Linked DNA regions of Coturnix japonica. The protein of the gene in region 1 purifies or fractionates together with the protein of each later gene. This does not show direct contact. Links are inferred from orthologs where the notes say so. Each region holds a gene or a part of one and is shown in the gene's direction. Other genes may lie near its edges.

Region 1 (3,646 bases):
CCATGATGAGAGCATTGCCAAGGACATGTCCATGAAGGATTCTGGAAGTGACCTGTCTCACCGCCCTAAGCGCCGCCGCTTCCATGAAAGCTACAATTTCAACATGAAATGTCCCACTCCTGGTTGTAACTCTTTAGGTAATTTCAGTTCCAGGATTGATTTGTTGACTTTTTTTGCCTTCCTGTGGTGATATTAAGCCCCCCCCTCCGTTGATTTATACAACGTAACGATAGGGAGCTGCTTAGAATCAGAAACAGTACTGAGAATTGGGTATAGAGAAGAGTTACGGAGCATATCCACAGCTCTATCTTTATTGTCTAGAGGTGTTTGGGGGACGATGGGATAAAGAGCAAGTTAGGAGAGTAAGCACAGGTGTGGGAGGAGAATGCAGAGCCTTGTAGGTGAGGGTATTGATCTCAGCCAAAAGCAGGTTCTCAGCAACAGATGAATGCAGTCATCTAATGTACCTGACTGCCTGCATGGAGCGCAGCTTTTGAGTTAATGTGAAAGGGATTTTCCTTCTTTGTTCTTATAGCTTGTGCCACGAAGCATGAAATGTTTTCCTCCTACCACACTGTTAACAAATTGAGTTATTCTCTTGAGAAGCTCGTATGCAGTATCTGACCATCTGGGCTGCATTTAATGATCATATGCTGAAAGCTTTCTCTTTTTCCTGATCCTTTACAGGACACCTAACTGGAAAACACGAGCGACACTTCTCCATATCAGGATGCCCACTGTATCACAACCTGTCAGCAGATGAGTGCAAGGTAATGAAGTCTTCTGTTTTATCTCCCTTATGCTTTTATAGGGCGGAGTGCCAAGACTTGTTGTTTGTGCATAGGAAATAGTGTGATCCAGCTGATATCCTTAGCTATAAGACAGCAGCATTTGTCAAATAATTTATGTTACACCTAAACAGACAAAGGGACAAGATGGAAGCTGTGACAGTAGTTTGCTGCAGTGTTGATGGTGGAGTTTTGACTTCCAGGTGCGAGCACAAAGCCGGGATAAACAGATTGAGGAGAGAATGCTGGCCCATCGGCAGGATGACAACAACAGGCACGCCACCAGGCACCAGGTGGGCAGTCTTCATGTAGTGGAGTGGCTGCTCTGTTAAGAGTAGGAAAAAACTCAGCTTAGGTTTCTAGTGACAGTGACTTTAACTCGATCTCCCTTCTTTACCACTTAGTTAAGCTATCGTGTTAAGTCCTGTGGCTCTCTTTTGCAATCTCAAATTTGTTTCAGCAAGGAAAATTCATTTTCTCCTTCGGTAAGAGCCTGGAGCAGCTGGTGAGAGCCAAGAGGAGGCTTTGAGCAGTAGTATTACAGAAGAGGCTGGAGTTGTTCTCACAATGGTCTTTTCCGTGTGCTTTCAGCTTTTCAGCTGAATTTCTGCAGACCCATATGCCACCATTCTACTCTGCATAGTTCCATCAGGGGAATTATGTTTCTCAATTCAAATGAGTCCTGATTGAGAGTCAGGGTGAGCTGATGAGTCAGCAGTGAGCTTTTCCACGTGATTAAGCAGTGCATAAGGATTGCACCCTGTCTTGTGGGACTGAGGTGTGTTGACAAAGGCAAGCTACATAAAGGAGAAAAAATTGTGTTATACCTTAAGTGATTTTTTATGCATGCAGGATTCGGTTTGGAGGCAACAAATGTGATAAAAAATAGAAGGCAGCACAGAGCTCCTTCAGGGTGAAAAGATGTAGGTGAATATTTGAAGTGCATGAAGCCTAATGAAGCTTTCTGACTCTGTTTCTTTTTCAGGCACCAACAGAGAGACAGCTTCGATACAAAGAGAAAGTAGCTGAGCTCAGGAAGAAGAGGAATTCAGGACTAAGCAAGGAACAAAAAGAAAAATACATGGTAAAAGCAGCAATTCTTTCATTCCTTTGTATCTGGAATGAAACATTCTTGGTTAAAAGAGGTGCAAAATTCAACAGCCTGGTTGGAGTGTGTCAATAAAATCTCCTTTTTATGTTTTCTTGCTCTAGGAACACAGGCAAACTTATGGCAATACTAGGGAACCTCTCCTTGAGAACCTGACTAGTGAGTATGACCTCGAGCTTTTCCGAAGAGCACAAGCACGGGCATCTGAGGACCTGGTGAGTCTTCTAGCTCACAGTTGTTCAGAAATGTGAATGGTTTTTGGGTTTTGTTGCACCTGAGCAGGTAGAATCTACTGTAAGATTAGCACCCACAGCCCAGCCGAGTCAGCACAGTTAGAGTAGGTGTGATGCTGAAATCACTCAGTGGGTTTACTGAAAGTATAAATGGACCTGAACATCTGCAGAGACAAATGCCGCAGTGCCTTGGATGAGGAATAATTAGTAACAGCCTCACTTAATAGGTGTATCTTTTCAGTAAGGGAATGGACAGCTTCACCCATGGAAACAGCAGCAAAGGAATGATTAGAAATGAAAGACAGAAGTCTTGGCAGTAATTGGTGACTGAATGAGGTTAAAATCCTTATATTGTGGCTGAGGCTTCTGTAGGTGCTCTTCAAAGCTACTTCCCATCTCCAGAAATGAAGCAAAAGATTCTTTGATGCTCACCAGTGACAGTGGTATCTGGGATGTCTCAAGGCTGAGAGTTGGGCTGTATCTCTTCCTGCAGATGAGGGCAGAAGTGTTTAAAGATGTTTTCTAAGTCATTCTTCCACCACTAGCTAGTGCTTGCGAGCTGGGCTCAGGCTTAGTTTACTTGAGGGGTTTGTGGGATATGTCATTAGGTCACAGACTTAAAGTGAAGGATCTCCTTGAGGGAAAGAAATACAGCCCCTTCCTCTCAGCATCCCTTTAAGGCATATGTTAATAGCTGTTAATGGATTTCATTCATAGGAAAAGCTGCGGCTCCAGGGCCAGATCACAGAAGGCAGCAATATGATTAAAACTATCGCTTTTGGCCGCTATGAACTGGACACCTGGTATCATTCTCCATACCCAGAGGAGTATGCTCGTCTGGGACGTCTCTACATGTGTGAGTTCTGTCTCAAGTACATGAAGAGCCAGACAATACTGCGCAGACACATGGTAAGGGCTGGGAAAGGTCTTTGATTCCTGAGCTTCAAATCAGGCATGAGCATGCAGATGGTTTTTAAGCATTATTACTGCTGTCAGTTCAGTTGTTCACTTTGAGAGGTGAGAAGATTCTGGGTCATTGTAAAAGAAAGTTTTCCTAGGCTTGATTTCTGGTCTGTTCAGTGGGTTACAGAGGATCAGAAATGAGATCTTAACTTAAATTAAACAAGCTTGCGTGTCTCCTGGTGTATCCAGCAGCTGTTGTAACCTCTTCTACCTTTAAAAACAGTAGTGTCACCCTAATTTTGTTTACTTCTCATAGGCAAAATGTGTTTGGAAACATCCACCAGGTGATGAAATCTACCGCAAAGGCTCCATTTCAGTGTTTGAAGTCGATGGGAAAAAGAACAAGGTAATTAATTGTATTAATAGGCCTAGCATTGCTTTTCCTGTAGAGAAACAGGATGCAAATGGCTCTTTCTCTCTCTAATGGTGGAAAGGCTACTGCAGGCTGGTCTGTGCATTCTTGCAATTCTGACGTTTGTTTTGTCTGCATTCTCACTGTGGTTATTCCTCACTGCTGTTGTGCACATGCAGTTTCACCTGTTCTCTTGCACTCT
Region 2 (4,259 bases), on another chromosome or scaffold:
CCCTGCTGAAGTCAAGGCAGTTTAGCATTTCAGCATGCACAGATGCTGTTCACACAGGGATAATGTTTTATATGTGGCTGGTGAAGTGTTGTCAAGTGTACTGAGAAGATGGTAACATTCCTAGATTACTTAGAAGTTGCTGTGTTGCAGGCAAGGTCACAGTGTTCCATCTTGGCATGGCTGAGTTTGTTTCATTTCTGCTTTCAAAGCTTTTCGGAGGTGGGTGATTGTATCTCTCCTATTATCCAGATGCCTTTTAGAAATGAGCTGGAATTCTTATCCCAGGCGCTGAGTGTTGGCTGGCAGCAATTTCAGTGCCGTTTTAGATGCTTCTATGTAGTGTTAAGTAATTGTGTGTTTTACAAATGGGTTGGTTTATAGCAGCCAGTTGCTGTGGTAAAAAGCCCACTTGGGGTAATTTCTCCAGACAGTAAACCGACTGTTTCTCAAAAGCTACTACAATAACATCCTGTTCTTGTTTGTCATGTCAGCAGGTAAAATAACCCTTCCTTGGAGTGCTTGCTTGGCTGAAATTTTCTCATCATTCAGCACTGCCAGCCATCAGCTAAAGTCTTGTTTTTCTTGAACACAATATTAATAATGGCTGTGGTCAGGTCATTCTGATTGCTTTATCCTCCACAATAATTATGTTCATATAACGTCTTGCATCCAGTGTCTTCTTCAATTAAACCAGTCTGCCTTAGGTTGTACCTGAGCCATATGTCAGCAGGGTTTCCTTGGTTTTCCATTGGTTGACCAAGCTGATCAGGCAGACTCCTGGTTAACAGGGCAGTGCTTTCAGGAGAAGAGTGTTTTTCCAGAAATCCGTTACTCCGTTCTGGAATAACTTCATGAATTCTTGCAGGCACTGATCCACGAGGTGCTGCTTGCTTTGATTCACTTGAGGTTTTGTGAAGTTAAGTCCGTCATGGAGCAAAAAAATAACGTGACAGCTAAATTCAAATGCTTTGTTTGTCTGCAGGTCCTACAGAAAGGGGCTGAAAGTGCTGTACTCTAACTTAGGGTGAGTTGCTGGTTCAGGCCCCTGCATAGCAACAGATAAGCTCCAGGCTGACTTATCTTCTTGGGGAGATTTTACATTTGCTTTTCTTTTTCTCGTCTCCCTCTTTCTTTGGCCTGTTTTGTTCCTCTGCCTGGGCTCTGCACTCTTATCCCTGACTGCCCTTCTCCCTCGCATTACTCACTTGGCTTCCTCTCTACTTTCCCTCTTTTGCCCTCAGATCTTTGGGATCCTGCTGCTGCCTTTCCATTCTTCTCCAGCTCCTCTTGCCAGCTCATCTCCACCCCTCCTTGTTGGGCACCTCCTTAATGGCTGGAGCTGACTCTCAAATGATTATCTTTGTTGCTGATTAGCAGTTTGTGAGGGCAGAGCTGTCTTGGGCTTTTAGTTAAGGCTCTGTTTGAGCACCATTGCATAGTTCACAGTACAGCTTGGTCTAGACAGTGTCCTGCTGCTTTCCTACTTGTACCCCTGTGGATCTTGCAAGCGGAACCAGCTCAGGGGCCTGTACATGGATCGTGGCTTCAGAAGAGCTGATGCTGAGACAGAACTTGTAAGTCCTTCTGGATCCATATTGCTCGTTCCCATACTTGTTCCATTTTACTTCTTTGTAGATCCTACCCAAGAGAAGAAGGGTTGCGCAGCTAGCACCCATTGTTCAGTTCATCCTCTGGTTCTTCATAGACTTTTGTAATCCATTTTGCATGATGTGGAGGACATGGGTTAGCTCAGTGCATGTTCTGTCTGCAGGATGGTGTGAGAAACCAGCTTGCAGGAGAAAGGAAGGCAAAACTGGTAGATAGTTTTTCACCATGAAACTCTTTCACTATGTGGGTGAAGGAAGAAGTGTTGCAGTGGGATGGGAGATGTGGGTGAACTTCCTTCTGAACCTCAGAGCAGTGCTGGTATACATTCTCACATAGAGCTCAGCTAAAAAAAAAAAAACACACAAAATGGTGGGCAGGGGGAACTGCTTTTGTGGGGCAGGAAGAGTGCTTTCCTTTAGGCCTGGAAAACCAGACCTAATATTCAGCACATTATGTATACTGCTGGGAACTTGCAGGCAAAAGAACAGAGAGAACTCCTTGGCCTGTGTGAACTAAGTACTGAACGGTTCAAGCGGGTTTATTAGTAATGTCTGCGTTTCTGAGGATCTGGATGGTTTGTTGGTCTGAGTGCACAGCAGAGCATTTAGATGCCATTCTCTAAAACCCATTTCAACTCTTCTCATCTGTTGGTATGGGAAACATTTCCTGGTTTGCAAGCAGAGAGATTTGGAGCGTGCTGTGCCTTGCTCAGATATGTACTACAGAAATGATTGATACATCCAGTACTTGCTTGTATTTAAGGTGAAGTAACCTCTGAGCCTGAAATTGCTGAGGCCCTTAGTTGAAATGTTTTTCTATTGTGATGCTGTGTGGGTTTTTCAATCTGTGCTGCTCCTGTTAGCTTGTCTCCTTTGCTCATGCTGGTCCCGGTTTGTTGCAGCGTCTCTGGTGCACCACAGCGATGAGGAAGCCTCGGAGGAGGTCACGGCAGAATCTGGAGGGCCGGCATTCTCCATCACCCTACAGCCTGAAGTGCTCACCCACTCGGGACATGCTGACGTACGCTCAGGCCCAGCGCATTGTGGAAGTAGACATAGATGGGCGGCTTCACCGCATTGGCATCTACGATCCCTTAAAAATCATCACAGAGGATGAACTGACTGCCCAGGACATCACAGAATGCAACAGCAATAAGGAAAACAGCGAGCAGCCCCTTTTCCCTTCAAAATCCAAGAAAGCACCTTCCAAAGGCAAGAAGAAGGAATCCTGCTCCAAACACACATCAGGAACATCTTTACACTTACCCCAGCCGAAGTTCCGTGTGGTGGACTCCCTGAAACAGCCAGAGGCCCCCCCTCTCCCTGCTGCCTACTACCGGTACATTGAGAAGCCTCCCGAGGACCTTGATGCAGAGGTGGAGTATGACATGGATGAGGAGGATCTGGCATGGCTGGAAATGGTGAATGAGAAGAGAAGGGATGATGGTTATGGGATTATTTCTGCTGAGACTTTTGAGCTGCTGGTGGACCGCTTGGAAAAGGAGTCGTACCTTGAGAGCCGAAACAACGGGACTCAGCAGTCTGTCATTGATGAGGATGCATTCTGCTGTGTTTGCATGGATGATGAGTGTCACAACAGCAACGTCATCTTGTTCTGTGATATGTGCAACCTGGCTGTGCACCAGGAGTGTTACGGGGTGCCCTATATTCCTGAGGGGCAGTGGCTTTGCCGCTGCTGCTTACAGTCCCCTTCTCGCCCTGTTGATTGTGTACTCTGCCCAAACAAAGGTGGAGCCTTCAAGCAGACCAGTGATGGCCGCTGGGCTCATGTGGTTTGTGCCATTTGGATTCCAGAGGTCTGCTTTGCAAACACTGTGTTCCTGGAGCCCATTGAAGGGATAAATAACATTCCCCCAGCTCGGTGGAAGCTCACATGCTATATCTGCAAGCAGAAGGGCATGGGAGCTGCTATCCAATGCCACAAAGTGAACTGTTATACTGCCTTCCATGTCACCTGTGCCCAGCGGGCTGGTCTCTTCATGAAGATTGAACCCATGAGGGAGACCAGCATCAATGGCACAACATTCACTGTGCGCAAGACTGCCTATTGCGAGAGCCATTCCCCACCTGGAACAGTGAAAAAAGGGCATTCAGCTGCTACCAGTGAGAGGCAGGAGGGCATTGTGAAGGAGGAGAGGGAGGAAGAAGGCAATTCTGGTCCTCCCCAAGCATCCCTAAAGAAGAACAAAGTGAAATTGAAGCAGAAGATCAAAAAGGAACCTAGTGAGGGGACTGATGGGCGTTCATCTATGCCCATGGTGGCAGTTGCACAAATTCCATCTTACAGGTGAGTGTTGGAGCTGGACAGCAGAAGATGAACAGGGTCTGTTCTATGGACTCGATCCCTTTCGTTGTTGAACTTGGAAGCACCCTCTTTAGCCCAGACCTAGCAGTAACTGTGTTCAGATTGTGCTCTGCAGGAACATTCCTCACCAACATTCTTCCATGTGCATGCCAGTTGTGCACTGGTTTCCCTGCTTTGCCAAGCAACAACCCCAAAATGTTATGTAGTACAGATCTTTCGTGGTACCTAACAGGCAAACATGCAGCTAGCATCCAAATTTACATAGATGGCTGTGAAGGTGTTTTTAAAATACATCAGGCATTACAGGTTGGCAGGTGAATGGGAGT
Region 3 (3,631 bases), on another chromosome or scaffold:
GGAAAGGAATTGTGCAGCCTGGATGGCTTTTCTTCCTTTGCTTTCATCACTGGGACCTCGGGGAAAAGCAGGAAACCTGCAGTTTTCTTAACAGAAGGCACTATAGTGCCTATGTATGTACATGTATTTATGTGTTCAATGGTCAACTTGTTTCAGACCTCAAATCGGAGATTGATAAGTTGGCCACGGAGTATATCAGCAATGCACGGACTTTGTCGTCAGAGGAAAAACTGGGGCTTCTCAAGCAAATCCAGGAGGCCTACGGGAAATGCAAAGAATTTGGGGATGACAAGGTTCAGCTGGCTATGCAGACCTATGAGATGGTATGAAGGGAAGTGTCTAGTGATTGTTTCATGAAAGGCTGTGCTGAAGACCCTGATCTCTCTCTTTCAACCCTCACCCACTCTTGCTTTCCCTCTCTTAGAGCAAGCCCTGTACCCTGTCCTCTTTGCTGTCTTGGGCTCTGTTCTGTGGTAACTCCTGATCACTGTCTTTGCAGGTTGATAAGCACATCCGACGGCTGGACACAGATCTTGCTCGCTTTGAAGCAGACCTGAAGGAGAAGCAGATAGAATCGAGTGACTATGACAGTTCTTCCAGCAAGGGCAAGAAGAGTGAGTACCACCACTGGGCTGCAGATTGATACAGGAGGCAGCCAAGTGACTGTGGAAGTGGTGGGGATGAAGGCAGGCACTGAAGTGGTACAGACTGTTACGCTGGAATCTGAAGGACAGGTAAAAAGATGGTGACCAGGGCTCTTCTTGTGTGAGCGTATTCAAGGCCACTAGATAAAATTAAGCTGAAGTGCGTGGCCCAGAGTTCTGAAGTAGGAGTGCATTTTGGTGCTGAAGAGGTTGTTACTGTCGGGTGTCTATTTTGACAGGATGGGATATGCAATAACTTTTTCTCTTGTTGCCAGAGGGCCGAGCCCAAAAAGAGAAGAAAGCTGCACGTGCACGCTCTAAAGGGAAGAATTCTGATGAAGAGGCACCAAAGACTGCCCAAAAGAAATTAAAGCTTGTCCGCACGTAAGCATTTAAGACGCTTGGGGGAATGAGGAGCAGCACTACAAATCAGACTAAGAGAGACTTAGCCAGGCTTCCCTATGAAGAGTTTAATCCCCACCCAGACCAGATGTTGTATATTTCTCCCTGGAAAGAAAGGAGGGAGACCTTTTAGTTTTTTTCAAGGGATTGTGGTGTGAAGGGGAAGACAGATCACTCTAGTGGATGTGGATGTATGTACTTAAAAAGGAGGAGTGGCAGTCTCTGGCAAGCAAGGGCATTGTAATGGGAGATATGATGCTAGTTGATTTACTGACCTGATTTATTTCTCTTTCCTGTAGTAGCACAGAATATGGGATGCCTTCAGTCACATTTGGAAATGTGCACCCTTCAGATGTATTGGATATGCCTGTGGACCCCAATGAGCCTACTTACTGCCTCTGCCACCAGGTCTCCTATGGGGAGATGATTGGCTGCGACAACCCAGATGTAAGAGCCTGTAGTTGATGGATGTGGGGGAGAAGGGAATGGAGAGTCTTGTGCTGCTTGGGTGGGGCCTGATATAGAGGCAGTGACAGTAGCAGGGCTCAGCTGGGAAGAGCAGTGGACTGGCCGGTTAAGTGCAGTTTTCTTTGGGGTTTTCCCTAATACGACTGATATTTTCTTTGCCCTGTACTCAGCAAGGGAGAATTCTGCTTATGAACAACGTGTAGGTTGGGTGTGAGACTGTTTCCCAGCAGATCCCATTAGGGTTGCTACTAGTGATTTCAGAATTCGTGATTAAGCATTGGGAAGTTTCAGCAGACCATAAACAATGATTTCAAGAGAGAACTGCTTTTTAACTGAGTGCTCTCCACCTCAACAGTGCTCCATCGAATGGTTTCATTTTGCCTGTGTGGGTCTGACAACAAAACCAAGAGGAAAATGGTGAGTGAGTGATTAAAACAAACGTTCTGGAGGGCCCATTGGTCTCTGGAAAGAGGAGGTCGTGGGTGACAGAAAATAAGAGATAAATAAATAAAGGAGAAAATAAGACTTTTTCAGAAGGAAAATTTGAATTAAGACTTTGATATCGTGGAAAAGATCCTTTGAAACTGTGATTTCAGTGTTTGTATCAGATCATAAATGCTGGCTTTTTGCTTTCCTTTCTACCAGGTTCTGCCCTCGCTGTTCCCAGGAGAGGAAGAAGAAGTAAAATCCCATGAGCCTTGAATACTGCTGCAGGAGCTCTCTTCCCCCTGCCAGGGCCTCGTCCCAGCTCCCCCAGCCCTTGGGACCTTGGCTAGGGGGAGTCTTGCCCTGTTTGTGGTTTGGGCCATCCCTGGAATGGTGTGTACCCTTGCGGCAGTTCCAGTGTGTCCTGTATCCCTGGCTGCTTCCAAATCCTTAAGGGAGGCCCTCTCTGTGTACTATTCCAAACAGGTCTCTGAACCTCAAAGGGAGTGAATGAGGGCACCAGGGTAGCCACCAGATTCCCAGGGATTCAGGTAGCCCCTGATTTTCCTTGGCTTTCCTTCAGCCTCCTCAGAGTTCATTGCCTACTCTCTGCTGAGAGAACAAGGCTATGGGATGGGGGAAGGAAAGGAGGTAAGTCTTCAGCATTTTAGGTCTTCTATTTTCCTGGATCTTTTTCAGGAGAGAGGGAGTAACCAGGCCACTGCTTAATCTAGTAGCTTGGTTGAGAGACTGAAAACTTTAACGTACTCCCTATCTTTAATCATTCCACTACTTTGTCTGGCATTGAGCAGCCTCTTTTATTGGGGCAAGGAGGAAGAAGGAGAGTTTAGAGCTAGCTTTCTCTCTTACTCCTGGGGTAAACCTGCTGGCCTGGGAAGCACACTGTATGAAGGAAGAAGAATTTCTGGCCATGTGGTGAGAAACGGTTTGATTTAGCCTGTCTTCTGGCTCCAGAATTCTCCCTCCCTTTAGTACAGTGGGGCTTCTCCATTATGTTGATGATGGAAAGCTGAGGGATCCAAAATCCCACTTGTATACTATAGAATTAAATAAAATTCATTCAAACAAATGCTCAGTTTTGTCTTGCTGTCACCTCCAAAGTAAGTAATTGGTCTCTTTCTTAGATCTTTCTCAGCTCAGCTTTTCCACTGATGAATGCAGCACAGCTTTTTTCATGTAATAATACTGAACGTTCTGCCAAGGTCATCCTTTAAAATACATCCAATACACTCGGTCAAAGAATTTCTAAGCTTTCCAGTGTCTGTGGAAAACATCTGCCTCCTTAGTCCCATCCCCACAAATGACAAGATGCTTATTCTCATTTTTGTTGTTTTTTCATCTGTAATCTCTTAAATGAGTGAGGAAGAACAGAGATGACCAGCCCTCGCTATGGCTGTCGGGCAGTACAACTAAGAAAATAAGCCATCGGCACAAAGCTTTTGCATCCAAGAATGTGGACAAGTTTTTTTAGATATCCTGTTAACTTGTTCCCCAGTGAGTCACCTTCACCTTGTACCACTTTGCTGCCAGAAACTCCAGGTACTGTTAATAAAGTAGTGCTGTAATGTTGGCAAGTGAGGAGATGTTCCTTACTGAAGCTGGCCCTTATCAGTTTAATCAGTTCCTAGAATCAGAATTGTTTGAGTTGGAAGGGACCATTAAAGGTCATC

What was found.
Region 2: the proteins of KAT7 (region 1) and BRPF3 purify together in Homo sapiens (affinity purification with mass spectrometry; 3 studies listed by BioGRID and IntAct, counting the BioPlex papers as one, with this or other methods). This does not show direct contact. The link is inferred for Coturnix japonica from reciprocal best matches to the Homo sapiens genes KAT7 and BRPF3.
Region 3: the proteins of KAT7 (region 1) and ING4 purify together in Homo sapiens (affinity purification with western blotting; 6 studies listed by BioGRID and IntAct, with this or other methods). This does not show direct contact. The link is inferred for Coturnix japonica from reciprocal best matches to the Homo sapiens genes KAT7 and ING4.

The regions. Positions count from the first base shown.
Region 1 is NC_029542.1:2,704,806-2,708,451, reverse strand, and holds part of KAT7 (histone acetyltransferase KAT7), read left to right. Parts: coding exon 1-137; intron 138-687; coding exon 688-770; intron 771-991; coding exon 992-1,081; intron 1,082-1,773; coding exon 1,774-1,872; intron 1,873-2,000; coding exon 2,001-2,111; intron 2,112-2,846; coding exon 2,847-3,038; intron 3,039-3,348; coding exon 3,349-3,438; intron 3,439-3,646. UniProt on the Homo sapiens protein: Catalytic subunit of histone acetyltransferase HBO1 complexes, which specifically mediate acetylation of histone H3 at 'Lys-14' (H3K14ac), thereby regulating various processes, such as gene transcription, protein ubiquitination, immune regulation, stem cell pluripotent and self-renewal maintenance and embryonic development.
Region 2 is NC_029541.1:568,775-573,033, forward strand, and holds the start of BRPF3 (bromodomain and PHD finger-containing protein 3), read left to right. Parts: upstream 1-1,414; 5' UTR 1,415-1,532; coding exon 1,533-1,574; intron 1,575-2,509; coding exon 2,510-3,915; intron 3,916-4,259. UniProt on the Homo sapiens protein: Scaffold subunit of various histone acetyltransferase (HAT) complexes, such as the MOZ/MORF and HBO1 complexes, which have a histone H3 acetyltransferase activity.
Region 3 is NC_029516.1:69,398,963-69,402,593, reverse strand, and holds the end of ING4 (inhibitor of growth protein 4), read left to right. Parts: intron 1-156; coding exon 157-323; intron 324-499; coding exon 500-614; intron 615-919; coding exon 920-1,028; intron 1,029-1,345; coding exon 1,346-1,493; intron 1,494-1,869; coding exon 1,870-1,931; intron 1,932-2,159; coding exon 2,160-2,199; 3' UTR 2,200-3,030; downstream 3,031-3,631.